Xenopus tropicalis: one gene and its partner. The protein of the gene in region 1 purifies or fractionates together with the protein of each later gene. This does not show direct contact. Links are inferred from orthologs where the notes say so. Each region holds a gene or a part of one and is shown in the gene's direction. Other genes may lie near its edges. The genes, in order: fnip2 and flcn.

The links.
Region 2: the proteins of fnip2 (region 1) and flcn purify together in Homo sapiens (affinity purification with western blotting; 5 studies listed by BioGRID and IntAct, with this or other methods). This does not show direct contact. The link is inferred for Xenopus tropicalis from reciprocal best matches to the Homo sapiens genes FNIP2 and FLCN.

The regions. Positions count from the first base shown.
Region 1 is NC_030677.2:52,883,547-52,887,373, reverse strand, and holds part of fnip2 (folliculin-interacting protein 2), read left to right. Parts: intron 1-3,052; coding exon 3,053-3,179; intron 3,180-3,827.
Region 2 is NC_030685.2:15,782,536-15,786,788, forward strand, and holds the start of flcn (folliculin), read left to right. Parts: upstream 1-1,159; 5' UTR 1,160-1,173; intron 1,174-2,697; 5' UTR 2,698-2,734; coding exon 2,735-2,983; intron 2,984-3,290; coding exon 3,291-3,437; intron 3,438-4,215; coding exon 4,216-4,253. UniProt on the Homo sapiens protein: Multi-functional protein, involved in both the cellular response to amino acid availability and in the regulation of glycolysis.

The DNA.
Region 1 (3,827 bases):
AGAATGTAATTGTTGTTGCTACTTTTTATTTCTTACCGTTCTATTTAGACCTCTCCTATTAATGTTCCAGTTCCCCATTCAAACAACTGCCTGGTTGCTAGGGTAAATTGAACCTTCACAACCCTTGCTGCTAAAACTCCAAACTGGAGAGTTGCTGAATATAAAGCTTAATCATTCAAAACCACAATAACTGTGTGAGTTATTTAATAAAGCTCACTTGAGATAAAATACCTCAACCAACAAGGTTTTTTTTTCCCCAAACCAAAAGGCGATCAGTTCTAAATATGCCCCTTTGCATGTTTGGTGCAGGTTATTCTAAGGCTGGGTATACACACATCGATATAATTGTACAAGTTTTGTATGATTTTTGGACCATGTGTAGGCTCCGAATCATCATCCCAGCAAATTTTGTACCATGGCGATCGTTTGTCGTAAGAAAACTAAAATCTGAACATATAGTCAGCTTTAGATGTCATGCTAACGTGTGGCAAAACAGGAGAACTCACCAGTTACTGCCAATAGATGTGCTATGACATGCGATCCAGCTCCGAATGGCATCACCAAGCCATCTGTTTGTCCTTTGCATGGAACACCATCAAGGCAGAGTTTGAAATATACGTCTTTTATTATTCACATTAAAAACATCAAAAACCTGGAGGTTTTACTGGCATCCCCCAATAACCACAAGCTTGATGCTACCAGTTACAGGCAATGTTCCCTCTAAGGTGCGCGCTCGTGCACACATACACAAGCTTTGAGACCAGTGCATACAAGTTGTGGTGCGCACAAAGAATTTTGTGTGAAAACACAGGATTTTGTATTTATTCTGACCTGCGCACACAGTTTTTAAAAATCAGCACACAAAATCTGTACAGGTATGGGACCTGTTATCCAGAATGCTTGGGACTTGGAGTTTTCCGGATAAGGGACCTTTCTGTAATTTGGGTCTCCATACCCTAAGTCTGCTAAAAATCATTTAAGCATTAAATAAACCCAAAAGATTTTTTTTACCTCTAATAAGGATTAATTATATCTTAGTTGTTATCAAGTACAAGGTACTGTTTTATTATTACAGAGAAAAGGGAAATCATTTTTAAAAATGTGAATTATTTGTTTATAATGGAGTTTATAGGAGATGGTCTTCCTGTAATTCAGTACTTTCTGGATAACTGGTTTCTGGATAAAGAATCCCATACCTGTACACAACTGTAAAGGAATTAAAGGAAATTCTACAGTGGATCGTAGAAAAGTTACATGTTAACCGTGCCACCACTTTTTATGGAATTGAATGTATATAGCCCTATTTTATTTAACATGTACTATGCTGTGCACACATCAGTCTAAAATACTAACTGGGGTAGGAAGAGTGAAATCGTGCCATGATACCTGTTAATAGGGCCAGCCATAGGCTTGTCAGGTAAGCAGATGTCCTGTCAGGCAGTCACAAGGGAATTGAGTGGCTAGCAGTGGCTTGGCAGCGGCTACCTCACACCACATGCTGTATATGCTGACAAGAGGTGAACAGGGCAGGGTGCAGAGAGCGCTGTATTGTGATACAAAGCACTGTACAAGTGCAGCCGTCAGTCTGCTCAGCAGCTTTTTTGATACGGGTGGGGAGGTAGATGTAGTCATCTGATAGTCTTGTGCTTTGGAATAAACTTCCCATGGAAATGAGAACATTTACTACTGCAGGGATAGTCTGGTGCAGTCTGTGGGGCCATGTCCAGAACTGGTGGGAAATGAGGCTGCTTCATACAAGGTAGTATTTGTTATTGTTTATTGTTATTTCATCATTATTTATAGGGCACAGCAAAGAATGACATTACTGCAGCATCCAAAATTATGGAAATAAAAAGAAAATAATAATAATAAAAAAATGTACACAGGTACTGCTAATGCCAGTAGCGTTTCCTAATACCTGTACTGTACTTGTCCAACTGAAAGAAATGACACTTGGTGACACTCCCTAGAGCTTGTGATCAAACAATTTTACAGTTTGGGGTACAGAAAGGTTTAGGTTTTTGGATATTCCATTCAGACCTCCCTGATTTATCCAAGTGATTTCACAACTGAGTTAATGTAGAGATGGCATTATTATGATTATAGAAATCAAGCAACTAAAATGTATTTGATTATTTTTTGTTTGGGGGGGGTCCTCTGCATATTCACAGCAGTAAAGCTGTTACTTCCCCTCGTACAGCTAGGTTTTAGTCGCAGTGGGAAACTATGTTTCTGCATGTGACAGCATTGCTAGGGATGTTTCACAATCCTTCTGAAATTGAAATATTTAATCATTTCTATACACCTTACTCACTCTGGTGTGATTCCCACTTTAACATGATTGCTGATATTAGTAGCTGCATTCTATAGCATTGGGTTTGTAGCTGTATTAAATATAGTCATATAGTTCTAAGCATTTTAAATTTAGCAATACCTACTGGCTTTTGTGTTTTACTTTCTATATGTTCTGTTTAAATTAAAAACCGTATAAGGAACATACTGTAAGACTGCTTGTTTGTGGTCATGTTTTTGCCATCATTTTGGATGCTATATATATGTATATAAGATATACATAATGAAACAAGTTATGGAACCTATCTTTTCCAAGTGTGTTCAGGTGAACACTAAATAAACGTCCTACCAATCCTTCTGGCCATGAATTTGCACCAGTATGGGGAATTCTATATCTCTGGGGGCTTTCTGTATCTGTTTTTATATATAATGCTGAAAACGGTCTAGTATTATCAGTGGATTTTGTTTTGTTTTTTTTTACTTTTTTGGCAGTGTGCTATGGTATTTGTTTAGAAGTAAAGACTTAATCATAAAATCTGTATGAGACATATGTAATAGGTTAGTGGTTCTTGTGACTGTGAATCTTATGTTAGAAATAGTCATGGGAGTCAGAAACCAGCTATGCTGCAGCCACAGACTTAAACATGGACATATGCTCTTTTCATCACTCAGCAGTTTTACAGAATCTCAACCTTGGTTCATATGTAGAGACGTGCCCAACACATTGTGACTATCGCTTTATCTATATTACTGTCCACAGCTGGCCTTGTACGGATTTCGACTTGAATTGCATCCGCCTGATTGTTTACCAAGACTGTGAGAGAAGAGGCAGGCAAGTTCTGTTTGATTCTAAAGCTGTCCGGGAAATCAGAAATGAAAGTACGCAGGTAAGACTTTCTACCCTACGATGTTAAATCCACAGTCGGACAGTATCAGGAGTGCCTTTGCCACAATTCTGTTTAGTTTTTTTCATGTTTATATCTTTATAGCTGCTGAAAAAGGAATATTGTTTTCCTCCATGTATGGATACAAATGTCTTGTCTTTCTGTAATTAATTAGGCTCATTTGCATCTGCAAGTGCAGTGAACAAAGTGTATTTTCAAGCACAATTGCCATGTTTTTTCCCCACAATGCACAGTTTTCACCCAGAGTCATTGTAATGATTGCAGGTGATTTTCTTCCCACAATTGTGCTATGTCTACCATGGTTGCATCTGATTTGCCAAAATGGACACAACTGTGCATACACTTTGTTGCAAATCCAACGCAGTTGTGCCAAATATTTTCTGTCTGGCCTAGCGTCATTTTGTGTACACCGCTTCTGGTTCTGTCTTGACACTCATGGCCCAATAGTTGTGAGGCAACCCCTCACGATTTACTTTATTGCTGGTGAGAAAGTATTTGGAGGAGAGTAGTTGCCCATTGTAGGGGAGATTTATCGCGGGTGACTAATCTTGAATGCCATGAGCCTAGGCCTAAAGCCGGACAAGGTGCTTCCAAATGTGTACGAGCAGGATTGGTGCTGTGTTTGCCATG
Region 2 (4,253 bases), on another chromosome or scaffold:
CACCTTTCTTTGTGACCTATCCTTTATCCAGTCCTGTGTGCCTGTCACATGGCTAGGCTCTGTCTCTGATCACTGTCTCTCTCACAGCTCTTTGGGCTATGGCACATGGGGAGATTAGTCCTTGTCGCGGGCAACTAATCTCCCCGAAATGCCATCCCACCGGCTAGAATGTAAATCGCTGGTGGGATGGCATACGCGGCGCCAAAATCGCCATGCCATCCCACCGGCGATTTACATTCTAGCCGGTGGGATGGCATTTCAGGGAGATTAGTCGCCCGCGACAAGGAAGGTTAGTTGCGCGCCGACTAATCTCCCCGTGTGTCACAGCCCTTAAGGTGAAGACACACAGAGCTACTAGTAGCAGCTACTTGTTCTGGCTACTAAAACAGACAATTCTGATCATTTAATGATTTACTGATCATTTACACTCTACATGTGTTTTAGCAGAGGTAACTCTCAGTATTGTCTATGGCAGGGGATTTTCTGGAGTTTAGTAGCCCTTAGGATATAGTCCAGTGTATTTCACTCCTGTTCAGTGAAGGGGAATTTAGACACCAATAGCAACAATATAGAGGAACAGAACTGGTGACAGGGAATGAGGTGAAATAGGGTGATGCCCTGTGTAATAAGCCCCTCTTCATTTAGTACTTGCTGCTTATGCTCTAAGCAGATACAGAGGCATTTCAGGGCACAATCTAATGTTAACATTTATGTGAACTAGTTTACATTTAAAAAAGACATTTCCATGGGACAGAGAGGCTAAGCCCCTGGGAACTAGTGCCGGCCGGCAGATATACCTATGCTAACCCATATGTAAGTAAGATATAGGGTTGCTTGGCGCTGACAGAGCAGTGACCAACTGCAGCACATGACAAGCATCACATGAGGGATACTGTGCCAAGTCTCTTGCTGGCCGGAGCATACCATGGCATTGCTCCAGAGGGGTGCACACCTTCGTAACCAATCATTAATCACTGATTCCGTGCACGTCTCATAAAAAGCCCTTGCGTGTTCCTTCTCCTCAAGACGTAATTATTATTAATATATATTACAAAGACTCTGCCTCAGGATTATTCATTTCTGCTCCCCCCCCCACTCCCGCACATGCGATCTTCCAAAGAGAAGGAAGTCTCCGCCTGTCATGTGATGTAAACATGGCGACGTGACTGGCAGGTCTGTATATGAGGGTCCGGTCCGTAGGGGCTTTTCGGCTCGGGCAATGGCACAATATTATAAATTCCATTCTGATTCGTTTGTTGGGGGAATTGTACCTGCCGTTGGGGCTACACTGATACTAATACATGTACTGAGGGCATATATATAACGTTATCATTGCATCTAACCCACCATAGATTCTTATGGGTATTATTAGGGTTGCCAATCTTTTCTGAAAAAAAAACAGCCTTCCTATAAATAACATTGGCTTCAAGCCTCATATTTACTGGCCAGGTGGCAACCCTAGGTATTCTACATGAGTTTGGAGCTGGGTTTATCCCACTCTGTTTTCTGGGGGAATAATAAGTGAAATTGGTATAGCATTTATCCTGCCAAATGCACACTAACCCTAATATTCTACTGCCTTTTAATTACATTGGGGTGCTGGGAACTACTATGCCTTACAGCAGTGATCCCCAACCTTGAATTCCTGACTTGGGGGCAAGTTTTGGTTGAATAAAAACAAGATTTCCTACCAAATAAAGCCCCTGTAAGCTGATAGTGTGCATAGAGGCCCCTAATAGCCAATCTTAGCCCTTATTTGGCACCTCCATGAACTTTTATGGTGCTTGTGTTGCTCTCCAAGTCTTTTTACATTTGACTGGGGCTCACTAGTATAAAGGTTGGGGATCCCTGCCTTACAGTATATGATGTGGCTGAGGTGTCAGTACCCACTCCCTCTCACTATATGTAATGTGCCTGTGGTGTCAGCATACCTCACAGCTGTACTGCTTTCCACAAGACCAGTGGTGGGCAGTCTGCGGCTCTTTAGCCCCTTGAATTTGGCTCTTCCAGGTGCGGGCTTGCACGTACAGTGTGATCGCATTTCATTGCCCGTAGCAAAAATCAGCAGGAGGGGGTGGTCTTTGGGCTACAGGAGACACGGCACAGGCGTGGGCGGGATATGCAGTGCAGGGGAGGCTCACTCGTTTCATGCACGTGTGAGCCAGTGCAAAAAATTTGGCTCTCTAAACACAGCCACCTACACTGTGACAACTACAATGCCTAGCAATAGTACCCTTGTCTATATTGACCTAAACCTGACTCGACACCATTCCAATGTCAATATGTTAAACACTGTTTTGTATTTTTGTTTTGTAATGTTGTAAAACCAATAAAAATTTACCTGTATTGCCAGTTGGCCAGCCTTGTGAGATGAGTCTGTGACATTACCCCCCACATTATATAGAGCACAGCCCCCTGGAGATGAGAGGACAGGGAGCACTGTTGGGGTGTGGGTTGCCACTGCTTTTGCCATGAAATGTTTGGGGAGCCAAAACTGTGTCTATGGTGAAATGCTGGGAAGCCACTACAGTGTCTGCCATGAAGTGTTTGGGGATCCACCACTGTGTCTGTGTTGAAATGTCCCTATAAAGAACCAATAGCAGCCCGATTAAAAGTTAGCTTTGTCAACCAATTGTGTGATTACTCTTTACTGCTAACTTTCTTAACTATACATCCTCATCTTTTTGTTTTAAATAGAACTTGTATTTCTGCTGAAGAATCTCCAGGTATTACCATGAACGCCATTGTGGCACTCTGCCATTTCTGTGAGCTCCATGGACCCCGCACTTTATTCTGCACAGAGGCTCTTCATTCACCGCACCCCCAAGGGGCGAGTTGTGGTGACAGCATTGGGCAGGGAGAGCAAGCAGAAGATGAGGAGATGGGAATTCAGATGAGCAGCAGGATCCGATGTCACAGCCCTGCAGAGGGGGCAAGTGCAGACTCCAACAGCCCCAGGCCCAAAAAGTCGGATATGTGTGAGGTAAGAGCAATTCAGCGTTTATATGTGTTGTTATGTTTGTTTGAGAGCAGAATCCAAAAGAAAACAGGTATTAGACCCCGTACCTGGAAACCTAAAGATCTAAGTGTTCCTGGAATTTGGAGCACATAGCTCTGCCCATTTGAATGGGAGAGGTCTCAGTTTTGAAAGTTAAATCCTATCTGCTTCTTCCTGTTCCCTTTCATTCCAGATCAGAAGGATGGCAGCCATTAATCCTCTACTGAGAGTGACCAACAGCAGGCTGAACTCCTGTTCAGTTAGTTAATATGACTCCTTTCTCTTTGCACAGGGTTGCAGGTCCTTAGCTGCGGGGCATCCTGGGTACATCAGCCATGATAAAGAGACTTCCATTAAATATGTCAGCCACCAACACCCCAACCACCCACAGCTGTTCAGCATTGTGCGCCAGGCCTGTGTGCGCAGCCTGAGTTGTGAGGTAAGTTCAGTGGGGAACAGTATTTACACTGGTTACCACTATCAGCGCAGATAATTACCAATAACCGCATATAATCATCCGTGCATTCTAGTCCCCTAGCGCTCCAACGATACACCAGAAAAACACCACAGTGTCGGTGGGCCCAACAGGTCCAGGGCCCACTGGGGGTTTCTCCCAGTGCTCTAATGGGCCAGCCCGACCACGAGAAAGCTGCCCATGTTTTTCTAGCCTGTGGTTAATGGCAGATATGGTTATATTAAACCAATGCCATCAAGAGTGTATTGAGCGATTGATGTATTGCCTTGGATGCACCACCATATCCAACCCTTTTAATCACCATTCATATGAATCATGGTAATCAAAAAGGCCCATGTGCCATAAGCCATAGTTATACACCACATATGGAGGTACCATTAACCTTAGTTATACATAAGCCACAGTTATACACCACATATGGAGGTACCATTAACCTTGGTTATACATAAGCCACAGTTATACACCACATATGGAGGTACCATTAACCTTGGTTATACATAAGCCACAGTTCTACACCACATATGGAGGTACCATTTACCTTAGTTATACCTAAGCCACAGTTATACACCACATATGGAGGTACCATTAACCTTAGTTATACATAAGCCACAGTTATACACCACATATGGAGGTACCATTAACCTTGATTATACATAAGCCACAGTTCTACACCACATACGGAGGTACCATTAACCTTAGTTATACCTAAGCCACAGTTCTACACCACTTTCTGTCAACACAGGTATGTCCTGGTAGAGAAGGTCCCATATTCTTTGGAGA